2 linked regions of the Stegostoma tigrinum genome follow. The protein of the gene in region 1 interacts with the protein of each later gene in a biochemical or structural test. Links are inferred from orthologs where the notes say so. Each region holds a gene or a part of one and is shown in the gene's direction. Other genes may lie near its edges.

The links. The genes of interacting proteins can lie anywhere in the genome.
Region 2: the proteins of smurf2 (region 1) and smad1 form a complex in vitro, tested with the Homo sapiens proteins (2 studies listed by BioGRID and IntAct, with this or other methods). The link is inferred for Stegostoma tigrinum from reciprocal best matches to the Homo sapiens genes SMURF2 and SMAD1.

The regions. Positions count from the first base shown.
Region 1 is NC_081375.1:10,562,449-10,570,520, forward strand, and holds the start of smurf2 (E3 ubiquitin-protein ligase SMURF2), read left to right. Parts: upstream 1-5,035; 5' UTR 5,036-5,818; coding exon 5,819-5,870; intron 5,871-8,072. UniProt on the Homo sapiens protein: E3 ubiquitin-protein ligase which accepts ubiquitin from an E2 ubiquitin-conjugating enzyme in the form of a thioester and then directly transfers the ubiquitin to targeted substrates.
Region 2 is NC_081354.1:46,819,939-46,827,101, reverse strand, and holds the start of smad1 (mothers against decapentaplegic homolog 1), read left to right. Parts: upstream 1-4,105; 5' UTR 4,106-4,206; intron 4,207-7,163. UniProt on the Homo sapiens protein: Transcriptional modulator that plays a role in various cellular processes, including embryonic development, cell differentiation, and tissue homeostasis.

The DNA.
Region 1 (8,072 bases):
GATGAATACTCATCCAGACTTGAAACGTTAGCTTGCTGTCTCTCCATGGGTGCTGCCTGACCTGCTGAGATCACCAGCATTTGTTATTTTCAATACTGAATGAATATTGTGTTTCCCCTAATAGAAGTGGTTATAGTTACAGAAGCAGCCTTGATCAACATTTGTTATGGTTCTTTTGACTGTAAACTTAGCAATAACAGAAAGCCAGTAATAGCTTTTCATTCTGGCCTTGGTCACAGCTATAAAGCGAACCCTGAAAAAGCAGCAAAATGTACATTTCAGAATGCAGCTTTTATATTCAGCATGCTAATGTCAGCCAAAATGTAGGCTGCTTTAATATCAGCAGGAGGCGCTAATGGATTATTCGTCCATTTCAAGCATTCCTCCTAGAATAATTCTTATTCAGAAAAGGAAATGAGCAATAATTAAAACAGAATGACTTTTGCTTCTAAACAGCCTTATAAAGATCAATGAGAAATTTGTGTAGCACTGTCACATGCATTGTTTAGTTGAACAAGAAGCGAGATTTCAAAGTAAAGTTATTCAGTGCTGATGACAATAGATAGGTTTTCTGACACAGACATCACCAGATATCTAAGATAATGGGAACTGCAGATGCTGGAGAATTCCAAGATAATAAAATGTGAGGCTGGATGAACACAGCAGGCCAAGCAGCATCTCAGGAGCACTCCTGAGATGCTGCTTGGCCTGCTGTGTTCATCCAGCCTCACATTTTATTATCACCAGATATCTATGTGCGTTGCAGAAGACAAAAAGTATGGTCAGCAATAGAGGGTTTTAAAAGGGGCTTGATTTACAAAATATGCACTAGAAGTTAACACTATCTTTAAATAGGATTCACAAAATCTGACGATTTAATAATCTTCTTAAATGCTACTTGATTATTCATATTGTTAGTTTCATATTTATCCATCAGTATTGTTAATGTGATGTGAATACAGTGCATGAGCTGTTTGAAAGTTGTTTGCTTGAGCCAGCTAGAACAAATAGAAACAAGTTAGTTAGAACTTTAAATTTGACTTCAAAAGAAATCAGTGGTGTTCCTCAATATTCATGGACAATTAGTTTCTGAAAGTGCTACTGAAATGTTTTGAATTTTCCTCCTAAATTATGTGATTAGATGATGTTACCAGCTGATGAGGATAGATGACTGTTTGTATGTTGTGATGTGAAAATAACTCTCAGCTCTTCCTTCAATACTTCAGCAAGTGATTCAAATCAATTTCCTCAAAATGCTGATAATTGCTTTAAATACAAATTTTAGTAAACAAGTTTTGTTGCTTTGAACAGCATTCTTATGTTTCAATAAACAGTGTGTTATGACTCACTGCTGTATGAACTATTTAAAAAATTAGTCTACATTGAATTTCGCATAACTTCCTTGTTCTTGTACACTCTGCTTCTATTTACAAAGACAAAGGATTCTATATCCTGAGAAAAAATACAAAATGGAAAAAATATATAATGACAGTAAAACAAAAATTCCAGAAAAAATATTAACCCCAGTAAATCTATTTTATTATCTGGATGTAGACCAGATTTGTGGCCTTTGCACATCCCCATCAGGGAAAAAATCTGTCTCGCTTTTTTGATTAGTCATGGTGATACTTTACTGGAAAAACGCGCTTAAACTTCTTTACAATTTAAAATTATTCTGCTGTCATGCATAGTTTAAAATGTTAAAAAAACTAATTGTATCAATCATTACATCATTTTCTATGCATAAGACATTTTTGTTCGTTTTTGTATTCCACCCACCCTCTAAAGGGAAGGAGAGAATTATTCCAGTACGAAATGATCATACTGCCACACTCACCCTCATTCTTTAATATCCATGTATCTCGGCATATGGAAATTATTATTTATTTGTAGTATATATTTTATATGCTATATAACTGGTTGTTTTGAATTAAAAAAATGTTATGCATAGTGTTTGCCACTTTCTATAAAGACATTTAAAAATATAAAACTGATTCAGTTTAAAAATTACATTCTGACTATAACTTGGGGTGCTACAGCAAGTATTAATTAACAAAATTAATTGGTGTGGTACTATGAATCATACATGCAGCTTGATTCGGGTAGCACTCATATCTCTAGGTTAAAGATCATGAATTAATATGGCACTCCAGAATCTGAGCACAAAATTTAGACTGAAACATCAGTGTAGAAATGCTGGGGCTGGTGTCTTTCAGACAAATTGTCAAACTAAGGCCTTGTAAACTAAGTGTGTGAGCTCACATGGATAAAGAAGATCCATAGAACCAATAAGCGTAAAGATTACTTTCTCCTGGTATCAAAATAATAGTTATCTCTTAACTGAGCACCACCAAGAAAGATTTTACTTTTTCTCCCTGCTGTTTATAAGAACACATGACAAAACAGAAAAGGAAAGATACTCTGGTTCATCTGACTTGTCCTGCATATTTATAATATCTTGTGCATTTGTTTTCATTCTTTCATGAGCTGTGGGTGTTACTGGCTGGGCCAATATCCACCATTCCTAAATTGCTTAAGAAAGCACTCATGAGCTGCCTTCTTAAAATGCTGCAGTCCATGGGATGAATACACCAACAGTGTTGTGAGGAAGGAGGTTCCAGGATTTCGACCTAGCGACGATGAAGGAATGGCAATATAGTTTCAAGCCAGGGTGGTGTATGGCTTGGAGGGGATCTTGCAGATGGGTGTTTCTGCTAATGCATCTACTGCCCTTGTCCTACTAGATGGTAAAAATTTACATTACCATATATACATTCTTACTCTACCTGAAACCATTCAATCTCCAGGGAATCATTAAAAATCTAAACCAACGTTGGAGGAAGAAAAGTTTAGGAATTCCTTTCTGACCCTCTTTGGCAATCACAACTGGTCAAGTGTGATGATGCTATGGCTTTAACAGGCATATTTTGCCCTGTTACTTTTTATGAAGATAGGTTGAGACAGAGGTAATAAGTGGTCTGCTCAAAGCCAATAAAGTAAACAGCTTGTGAGGCCCTGTTTTTTTTAAAGTTTGGAGCAATAGAAGCAGCCTGAATAAATGGGGTCATGCTCCCACAGAACTAGGATTTTTAGTTTTAGATTTCTGCAGTTGCTGGGATCTTGAGGTTGGATGCAGAAGTTTTTATTTCTTTCTGTTATTGCTAAAAGCTGGGGTTCTATTCCTGCTGCTAGAGTTGCAAGTAAGGGTATTGGCATCTTCTTAATATATTTTGAGGTGGTTTGGTCGGGTCAATAACATGAAAATGTCATTCAATCCTCCAATTTCCTGCAATACCTACCTTTCTTCAAAGGTGACATCTGTCCTAGCTGGAAACAGTTCTAATTGTCATGAAGTATTCAATTAATTGCCACTGTATGCACAGTCCATCATTTTCTGAGAAGAAGACCGACATCTTGACATTTAACACAGATCTGGTCCTCTACAATTTAAAATTTGGTTCTTTGGTCCTTGATTACATACTAAATTGCAACAAATTGTCTACTCAAGCACAACTTTCCCCGCATCATCATCATAATCACCTAAAACTTGATCAGATCACCCACACCTATCCTTCTCTGAAGTGCATGGTCTCAGATCTTTTAATCTATCCTGATAACTAAGATGTTTCCAATTGTGAATTAATCTTGCATTCCTCCTCTGCATCTTTTCCATATCTCAATATTACCTATCTGTGAGGCAATCAAAACTAGGCACGAAATTCTAACTGAAGCCACACTAAGGTCATTTACAGGTACAAAATAATATGCTTAGACTTACTGTCAATTGTGTTTTATACACTATGATGATCAAATCTTTTTCTTCCACCATTTCTGTTAATGCCTTTCCTTGAGGTGTATATGTATGCTTAGCAGCTACTGTATGCATAGGCTTAAGATTGCACTTTTCCAAGTTAAACATAACCTGGCAGTTTAAAAGCCCACATTTTGCAATTCATCCATTCAGCCTTATGCTGACATATCAATATTTGTCCAAAATCCAAATACACTACATCTCTTGGTACCCCTCTATCCACCCTACTTATTACATCCTCAAGGAACTCTAACAAAATTGTTAGACATGACTTTTCCTTCATAGACACAGTTGACTCAGCTTGATCGTACCATGATTTTCAAAAACCCCTGCTAAAACTTGCTTGATATCAGATTCCAGCATCTTCTCAAAGACAGATGTTAGGCTAAATGGCCTATATATACACACACCAGCTTTACACATCCATCCTTTCTTGAACATGGACATTCTATTTGTGATTTTGCAATTCACTGGGGCCTTTCCATAATCTACAGAATTCTGAAAATGTACAATCAATGCAAACCCTATTTCTGCAGCCAATTCTTTTAAGACCCTTTCATGCAAGCTATTAGCTCCAGAGCACTTGTCACCTTTTAGTCCCATGAGTTTCGCGAGAACATTTTTTAAAGTGATGATTGCTTCAACGTGCCCTTGAATTTCTACTAATCTTGCGAAGTTTTTACTGACTTTCACTGTGAAAAAACCGACAAAATATTCAGTCCAAATCATAGTTGTGAGACAGTAAATAGGAAAAATTCTTTCCAGTTGCAGAATGATCGGCAGCTCGAGGACACAGAATTAAGGTGACTGTCAAAAATAACTTGAATTGACAAGAGGTAACAGCGACGTTGCAGTGCACTGCCTGAAAGGTAGGTTCAGTAGTAACATTCAAAAGAGAATTGGCTTGCGGAGGTTGGGGACTGTGGGGTTAACAGTTATGGGGAAAGAACAGGAGAATGTGATTAATTAGGTAACTGTACAAAAGAGGCAGCACGAGAGCGATGGGACGAATGGGCTTTTTCTATGCTGTATCATTCAATGACTGGCTCATTTCATTTCAATCGTGGATTTCATATTGATAGACCATGCATTTCGTAAACTCAATAATCCGAAGTCAAGCTCTGACAAATTTACAGGCATAGCTCGACCACATTTAGTCGCATTTTTAGTAACAGTGAAGTTTCCTTGGTGCTATTTCTCGACTGCCTTGTTCCCGAGACCCGAGCAGGAGGAGCTGCAGACTGTCAAGAGGGAGGGAGCACCAGGGTGATGTCAGCAAGAACTGTGTTCTGGCTCTCAGTTGAGAAGCCCTGTAGAGAGAGGACTTCGACCAAAGAAGCGAAACAAGAGAAGAAAGCAGCGACTTCAGCCTTAAAAAAAGAAAAAAAGTATCACTGACAACTTTTTGCTGCTGGAAAATAACCCTCAACCTCTCCTCTCGTCGTTTTGAGCGTGGATTTTCTGTGGGTGGAAATACTCTCAAAAATAAGGAAGAAATCAGAGCAACAACGAATCGACTGGATTCGAGCCTTCGACAAAATAACAACAATATACCTCTACAGAAGATCAATCCTGAGCTGTATTCGAAGATGGGAAGCGAGACACAGAGAAAGGGGGGAGTCTGGTTGCACTGATCGAGGCACAGAGACGGTCTGAGTAAGGGAAGAGAGACAGAAAAATCTAGAAGAAAAGTGAAAAATTGATTTTTTTTCCGGCGTATTGAAGGAGGGGAGTTGTTTTCTTTTTAAAAATTTCCTGAGGTAAATAATGTTTGTTTTTTTTATTTTGATCGAGTTTTTTTTGGTCGTCCGTTGGTGAGTGTGGGCTATGCACATCCGGGCCACCGGGCTGGAGGAGGCCATCATTGTTCGCTCGGGGAAAGGGGGGAAAAGCGGCGGCGGCCGCTGGCGAACGGGAGATACCATCACCATTAGCAACAGCAGCAGCCGGAATTAAACCTCATTTAAAAAATATAAACATACAAATAAAACATAAACGCTCGGGAACATGTCTAATCAAGGAGCCAGGAGGAATGGGCCAGTAAAGTTACGTCTAACAGGTAAGAAGCTGTGAATTGCACACGCATATGTAATATACACTGTGCGTTATGAAGACCTGGAGCTTTAAATGGATCCTTTCTTTTTCTCTTTTTAAATGATTTGTGAATGGAAAGATTGTTTTGTTTTTTTTCTAGTAGTTTCCTTCTCTTTGTCCCCACCCCCAATCGTGAGTGGCCAAATAAGTCATGTCATTTGCACACATTTTCTTTACAAAAGAGTGGTTGAACTTGAATGAGTTTTTTCCTGACTGGCAGATTTTGCTTTTGAATAATTTTTTTCTTATTCCCTGTATGTGGGCTTGGGGAGAAGGGTTGTGTCTTCGGATGATTTTATAACCAGGAAATTCCTGTTTCTGTTTGGAGGTTTCGGTGCTTGTAATACGTGTGAGGCCTGGCAAAGTAAACTCTTGGTTGTTGAGGTTATTCCTATGACGTGGGGGGGGGGGCGTGTGGATTCGAAACAATCTTTCTGCTTCTACCAACTCCTCTCTGATTTGCATACGGGCATGTCTGTAATATGAAAATATGTAAGATCAAGAAGACTTACGAGTTGCTGCATTTTATTAATCCAATTGTATTTATGTTCCCACCCGTCCAAAGAAGTGCAACAGCCAACTTGGCAACGGTTCAAAAGTTTAGTTTTGTTGCCTTGTGCTTATTCTGCACTATATTTATATTTTTATTTTATCTCCATGGACTTCACAATGAAAAGATGATTACGTTATTTAGAACTGGAGCTTAGTTTCTGGAAAGTTTATGAGAAAACAGCCACCCTTCAAATTGTGGCATTTTACATTAAGAACAGGTTTATTCAAAATAGGAAATGATATCTAAAATGTATTTTTTAGAAAAGGCATATTGTGAACATTATACTTGGACATCTTAACATTTTCATTAGCTGACGTTTTGCCTGTCTGCTTGGCTCAGAAATGATGTACTCACCCCTTACTAAGAAGGTTGTGGATTAAAAGTCCATTGCTTATTTTTGCCTATCATTCAGTACAGTAGAGGAGTCGTGATAGCAAGAGCTGCTGGCTGTAGGAAGAGATATTAAATCTAAGGTCTTGCATGACAGTTGGGTTGTTTTAAAAGATCCCTAGATATCATTTTGAAGAGCAGGGAGTATGTATTTTTTGCCAACGGTCTGACTCAATGACCACTCAAAAAGCATATAGTCTGCTCTTTAATCTTCTGTTTGTGGGATTGTGCTGCACTAACAACATAATTGCACCTCCAAAAAAAACTTCACATTCTATGGAATCTTGAAATGTTGTAAAGACATAAAAATGCTTCATTTTAGAAATAACATCAATGTTGTTGTGTTGGGAAGTGTAATAGCAAAAACAATGCTGTAAATATTCATCAGGCCAGAAACAAGAGTTAAGGTTTCAGATTGATGACCTTACACCATTTCTAATGAATTAGCATCTGTCTGAAATATTAACCCTGTTTCTTAGTCTACAGATGCTGCTTGCCATTCTGAGGCTTAATGGAATTTTGTTTTTGTTTTTAATTTCAGATTTCCAACATTTTTCAGAATTGCACACTCAGTTACTGTTATCAGTGGTGTTGGTTCAAGAATAAATGGTGGTTGGGATGCCTGCAGAGCTAGGCTGTTCAGATTGGAGTAAAGGCACATGACATCTTGAGTTAACTCCTGAGCCAAAAGATAGTGGTAATACTAATCCAGCATGAGAATATGTCCTTAGATCTTTTTGAGTGGGGCTAGAATCCATGCTCAAACAAGAATGACTGAACTATGTACTGTTGAAAAGAATTACAGACATGAGAAGTAAAGTGATAAATGCCTGAAAATGCATGCATAATTTTGGTTGAAGTATGTTTATATAAATGATTTGAATGAGAATTTGAGAAATGATTAGTAAATTTGCAGTTGACACCAAAATTGGTGGTATAGTCAACAGTGAAGGAGGTTATCTCAGATTATAAAGAGATCTTGATCAGTTGAACCATTGGGTTGAGGAGTGGCAGATGAAATGTATTTTGGATAAATGTGAGATGTTGCATTTTGATTAAGCAAATAAGGGCAGAACTTCTACAGTTAATGGTAGGACCCTGAGTAGTGTTGTAAAACAAAGAGACCTTGGGGTTCAGTTATATAATTCTTTGAAATTTGCGTCACATGTAGACAGGGTCATTAAGATGTTTAGCGAGCTTGCCTTCATTGGTTCAGACCTCTGA
Region 2 (7,163 bases), on another chromosome or scaffold:
CTCCGTACCTAAGAAAGTGCATGCAATGTGCTTTAATGACTACTGCCTGGTGGCTTTGACATCAATGATCATGAAGTGCTTCGAAAGGCTGGTCATGGCCCACATTAACTCCAGTCTCCCAGCCTGCCTTGATCCACCACAATTTGCCTACTGACATAACTGGTCCACAGATGATGCCATATCCCTAGCCCTGCACTCATCCCCAGAACATTTGGACATCAAAGACACCCAACTCAGACTGCTACTCATTGACTACAGCTCCACCTTCAATGCCACTATCCCCTCCAGACTGATCACAAAGCTCCATGACATTGATATCAGCTCTGCCCTCTGCAACTGGATCCTCAGCTTTCTGACTCACAGCCCACAATCAGTGAAGATAGGAAACTGCACCACCTCCGCAATAACACTCAACACTGGAGCCCTCCAAGGATGCATCGTCAGACCCCTACTGTACTCCCTTTTTACCTATGACTGTGTTGCTAAATTCCAAATGAATGCCATCTATAAGTTCGCTGACAACATCACCGTAGTGGGATGGGTATCGAAAACACGAAAACAATGAGACAAACTACAGAAAGGAGATAGAAAGCTTGATGACGCGATGCAATGAAAAAAAATCAGTCTCTCAATGTTGGCTAAACTAAAGAACTGATCATTGATTTCAGGAAGAATGGAGAACACACCCCATATACATCAATGAAACTAAAGATGAGAGGGTGAAGAGCATTAAGTTCCTTGGAGTTACGATAGCCAACGCCCTGTCCTGTACTTGCTACATAGATGCAACAGTCAAGAAGGCACAACAATGCCTTGTCTGCCTCAGGCAGTTCAGGAAATTTGGCATGTCCATATGCTCCCTCACCAACTTCTACAGATGCAACATTGAAAGCTTACTGTCCGGGTGCATGAAGGGCTGGTATGGCAACTGTTCTACCCAGGGCCGTAAGAAACTACAGAAGGTGCTGTGCACAGCCCAGACCATCACAAAAGCCAACCTTCCATCCATGGACTCTATTTACATGGCTCGCAGCAGCGGAAAGGCTGCTAACATCATCAAAGACCCATTGCACCTCAGTAATGATTTCCATGAACTCTTCAGTCAGGCAGAAGATACTGAAGCCTAAATTCACGCACGAGCAGGTTCAGGAACAGCCTCTTCCCCACCATTTTCAGACTGGTGAATGGACTGTCTAGCCACAAATAATGTTGATCTTGCTAATGTTGATCTCACCTAGTGCACGCTCTGTGCAATGTAACCTGCATGCCTCTGTCTAAGTCTTTTTGATCTGTGCATCCTTTGTTTACTATGATCTGCCTGTACCACTTGAAAACAAAGCTTTCTATTGTATTTTCGTACCAATGACAATCAATCAATCAATCAATCGTACAATAGTTGCTGAGTTAAGGATGTGGACACGGCAGCCAGTAAAGACAGCAAATGGTATGCTGTGCTTCATAGTGAAAGGAGTTCATGTGTAGGACCAAGGTTGTCTTGCTGCAATTATACAGGGCCTTAGCGAGACCACACTGGAATATTATGTGCAGTTTTTGTTCCCCTATCTGATGAAAGATGTTTTTACTAGTGAGTGCAGCCAAGTTTTACTTGACTGGTTCTTGAGATGCTGGGACTGATGCATGAAGAAAGGTTGAATAGGTTAGGATTATACTCGCTAGTGTTCAGAAAAATGAGGGGTGATCCACAGAAACTTTAAAAATTCTAACAAGACTAGACAAGGTGGTTGCAGCAAAGATGATTTTGATGGCTGGGGAGTCCAGAACCAGTGTCACATTCTAAGGATACAGGATAAACCATTTAGGACTGAGATGAGGATAAATTTCTTCACAGAAAGAGTGGTGAGACTATGGAATTTGCTAGCACAGAAAGCAGTCGAGGGAAAACATTGTATGATTTCAAGAAAATATAGTACTTGGGGCTAAAAGATGTGGGGTTAAAGCAGGAACAGTTTATTGAGTTGGACGATCAGCCATGATCAGAATGAATGGCAAAGCTGGCTCGCAGGGCCAATTGGCCTACTCCTGCTCCTATTTTCTATATTTCTTTGTAGGCCACTTCTACACTCTCTCCAATGAGTTCACATTCTTGTTATAGCATGTCTCTCAGAACTGTACACAATATTCCAACTGAGATCTAAGAAGAGTCTTATACAAGTCCAACCTCACCTCCTGGCTCTTCTACTTTATGCCTCTGTTAATAAAGCTGAGAATACTTCATGCTTTATTAACTGCTTTCTTGCCACCTTCAATAATCTGCACGCATGTACACCCAGGATCTTCTGCTCCTACACACCATGTAGACATGATCCCCCCTCTTTTAGATCTTCTTCCTGCTAAAATACATCATACTTCTTAACATTGAAACTCATCTGTCACCTCCCTCCCTCTCAACCCTGCCTCCTTGACCTGACACAACCTGTCCAATCGTCTCTCCCACCTCACTGACCTATCCCCACCACTGCCTACCTGCACTCACCAATCACCATTCCGCCTACCTCTCCCAGCCTCACCCCTCCTCCCTCTGTTTATTTCAGCTCCCTTCCTCTTTCTCCATTTGAGAAGAAGGGTGCTGACCGGAAACGTCAGCTTTCCTCTTCCTGTGATAGTGCCTGGCTTGCTGTGCTCCTCCAGCTCCACGCTGTGTTATCTCTGACTCCAGCACTGGCAGTTCTTACTATTTCTAAAGTAAATGGTAGTTATCTTTTCCCTAGGATGGGGTATTTCAAGCCTGGGGACATATTTTTACGGTGAGAGGAGAGAGTTTTGGAAAAAGACGAGGCAAAGTTTTTACACAGAGGGTGGTTCGTGTGCAGAATGAATGTCCCGAGGAAGTAGTGGATGCGAGTACAATTAAAGCACTTAAAAGACATGAGGATAGATACATGAATAGAAAGGGTTTGGAGGGAAATGGGCCAGGAACAGGCAGGCGGGACCAGTTTAGTGTTTGGGTTGGACTGAAGGGTCTGTTTCCTCGCTGTATAACTACGATCATCAATGGTATTACCACTATAGAACCTTTCTGCTACTTCTTCAAAAAAACTCCAGAATGAAGATTATTTCCCCTTTCAAAATCCATGCTGACCCTTGTTAATCAATCCACCTTTTTTGTTAATATTAATTCTATCCCGAATAAGTATTCATCTGATTGTAATTGTTCACCATGGAATTTTACTATGTGCGACTGTATTTAGCTGCTTAAGGTGCAGATCAAAAGCAATCCATTGTATAGCACGTTTGTTCTGAGGCTGTAAACCAATGCCACAGATATGTAAATTCTTTCTTTTCCATGCTTCTCTTTTAATCTTTACCAAACATTCTTTTGTTATTTACAATCCTGATTTTTTTTGGCTTTTATTCCTAAGAACTGCATGAGGATTTCAACGGTGAGACGCAACATATTTCTTCAGCTTTAAAAATGCAAATAAGTTAAATGAAATTGTAGATAAATTACTGACGAAACAACAATTGCATTACAAATCAAATTTGTTTCGAGGTTTTTTAATGCAAGATAACTCGGGGAATCATTTTCATTGGAGTCTGTAGAAATGCTTACATCACTGGTTCAAACTGGGACTGATTTGCTTTAATAATGCTTTTCATACTTATAAGTTACAGGATCTTAACGTGAATTAGAACAGATCTGCTTTTAAAGTTCAGAATGGAAGGGACTCTAGTAATGATTAAAAAAAACTCGAAAGAACTGCGGATGCTGGAAATCAAAAACAAGCACAAATTGCTGTCAAGAGAAAGCCGAGTTAACGTTTCGGGTCCAGCGACCTTCAGTACGAGTCTTCTGATAATATTTGTATATACAATGAAGATTCAATTCTTCGAGAAATGAAGAGAAAATTAAATGAAAATAGATCAAATGAAATCGCGATACTCAAAAAAGTAAAATAAGGAGCCGGTATAAATGATTACTTAATAAACTTAAAACAAACATGAATAAGACTAGAGGAAGAAAACAATGCGTTGTTTGAATGAAAGCTGCCTAGTGCGTTTAAGAGTTGAACAGCTTCGCTCTTGTTGGAAGTAGTTGGGAAAGTAGTGCGGCTGGTCGGCGAGTTAATCCATAGCGCGGTGAGCAGTCGCAGTCTGCCTGACGCCGGAGCTTTGACTGTGTTGCGGTTGCTGGAAGTGCTGCCGATGGAGCGTGAAGGAGAGGGAGGCTATTTGGTTGGCGTTCAGGTAAGACAGTACCACAAGTTATTCTTAATTGTTTAATTCCTCTTCGTTGTTCGTACACTTTGCAGCAGTATGGAGCAGATGCACTTTTAAAGGAGGGGAAGTTATTGCCTTTATTCCCACACCTCCCCTTAGAAGTACTTTTAGCACAACATGGCGTCACCGGGAAAACGGGGAGAAAGTGGAGCCGGTCCGTTCGGACCCCGACAGTAACGTACATTAACGACCGGGAAAGTTTGCTCAAGTTTTTGTTGTGGGAGCCTCCATTCTGAGCTGTAAACTCGACTCGGCGAGTCTTTCTTCTGAGGGACGGGGTTGACTTAAACTGCAGCGCCGTGTGATCCGCTGCGAAAGATTTCTCTTTTTATAAATGGAATTTAATCGAGAGGATGCGACTGATCTTTCTTTCCTTCGCAGCCTCGTCCGGTGATGGAATAACGTTCCTCACTCCAGTTTCCACCGAGGGGAAGATGTTTTAATAACCTTTCTGAGCGTACACCCCAGACGCTGTTGGGTTCACGAATCTTTAAGAATCTTGGACCAATGCTTACGTTTTATTTTTCTGTGTTGTCATAGTTGATTAAGAGTTTGTGGAAGTGATTTATTTTTATCTGAGTCTTGTGTAAATCTTTTGAAACTAGCTCCTCCATCTTCCCGGCTCCTCGATTTCCATTTCATGGATCATCACTGGGTGAACTGAGGAAGGTCTCAAATGTGCCACGTTTTTTCCCGTATTAAAATAAGAATTTTGACCGTAGCCTCTTTGCAAAAAAAGAGAAACGCTGAAATTAAAGTTGTACGAATACTTGCATTGAAAAAGGAAGTTTCAGTATAAATTATTATGCCATATAGGAAGTGTTTGATATTTAAGTACTTTGGTTTGTCAAAATACTAGTTCAGAAAATATCTGAAGTAACTGCTTTTTGCCGTTCTATAGAAGAATCGTTAATATTTGCTTTGGTATAAAGAAGATATCTTCTGAAGTTAGCTTGCCAAGAGCTTTTGCCCTGAATCAGTTTCATCTGTCCTGTTTATTAATCTGTTGTAGATGGATGCCACAGGTACTTTTATACATGACTGAAATGCCCTGTGTGGATCAGCATATTTTGATTGTGTGATCTTTGTGCAGTATATTTCTTTTATCTGTGCTTGAGATTTTCTTTCTTCTCTGTGCTGATGCATTATCTGCCATGCATCCTTCTTGGCATTTTGACAAGAATCAGTTCAAGGCAGGGATTGAGTTACTGAAAGGATAAAAAATTTGTCCTTGTGTGGATTTTTAAAAAACTTCAGTCACTTTTCATCACCTTCGCAAACTTTTCAGCAAACTTCTTAGTTTTCATGCTGCGACCAAGCTTTTGGGAATGCCCTGAACCTTTGATTTTAATGTTAATTTTAAAAAAAATTAGAACTTTTTTTTCAGTTATGTCAGGCCTTTGATCTGTATCTGAAACTAGATTTAATGTGGCAGTTGGTTATTATTTGTTCAAAAAAACCAAGATCCAAATTCAGAACAGAAATCAGAGTTTTCACTTTGCAGAATATATTAATATGTTCTGCATTTACTTTTTAATTTCAAAATCAGCATTTGTTTTTCAAGAATATTTGAGATTTAAATGTGAACTGAAATTGCCTTTTCAATAGCTAATACAGGGAAAACAAGAAAAACTCAGCATTGCAAGCATTATTCACCTTATGCATATCATACAACTTTGTAAATTATTTCTAAAGGTGTTTTCCAAGCCTGAGGCCTCAGTTACAAGGAAGAATTAAGTTCTGTTCCCTTTATGCTAAATGCAAATATCATTACACATTCTGACTGCCCTTGTGTCTCCATTTTTGTGTTGTATATCACACAGCTGGAAATAGTACAAGTTAGTCTGTAGCTTTTGTAGAACAAAGGAACCAGATAGTCTAGGTGGGAAATTGAAAGAAATTACTCAAATAAGGCAATTACTATTATATCTTTTTCCTTATCTATATGATGCTACTTAAATGTTGGAAAAGCTCTCTCAGGGAGCCCAGGTTCAAGTCCCACTTCCCCTGAAGTGTGTATAATATCGCTGAACAGGTTGATCTAAAAAAAAGTTGGGAAACTTTCACCAAGACAAACTGAGCCAAATGTTCACCAGTTACATTACCTGCATGATTAAATGAACAGAATAGAATAGCCTTTTTTTGTCACGTATAAACTTTTCACCATACTCATTGACTATACGTTACCTATGACAGTGCCAGCTTAGGTACAAAAGAACCTTGGCACGATTCCTTTAGTTACAAGATTTACACATACAGAAATAAAAGTTCAGTACAGCAAACCATGCTGGCACCTAGCTTCCAGTCCACATTGAACACCGGCTCCGCATTATGCCAGCAAAATACCATGCTGACAGGTTGCTGCGCCAGGGTGGGAGGCCAGGGTTCATTGCTGGAGGATAAGAGTTGAAGAGGGGAATAAAGAGCAGAAAAGCTTGGAGTAAGAAAAGAAGAACAGGCAGAGTGGACAAGCTCCTGCTGGAGCATCCTACTCCGTCACCATCTTGCACAAGGAAGTTGATTTAAATTTTAACAAACTTATTTTACTTCTCATCATCATTACTTGAAATGAAAGCATCCTCCAGTTCTGTACCATGTATGCTCCAACCTGTCATGTACAATGCTGTTGTATTTTTAAATTTCTGAATTACAGTTTCTGGAGGAAACACTGCTGTCCTTTTAAGCATAATTGTCAGCAAGATTTTAGTATGATTTGGAAGTTGAGTAAGATTGAAAATGTTGAATCAAGAATCCAGTCTTAATTCATCAGTGGTTAATAGGCAGTTTCCCTTGCTGAACAGTATGGTCAGCTTAGTCTTTATAACTGTGATACTGATGACCTATCAGTGTAGAAGTGGCAGTAACAACAATGAAATTTAGAATCAGGAGTGACAATTGAAATCTTATTTCTATCAGATCTTAGT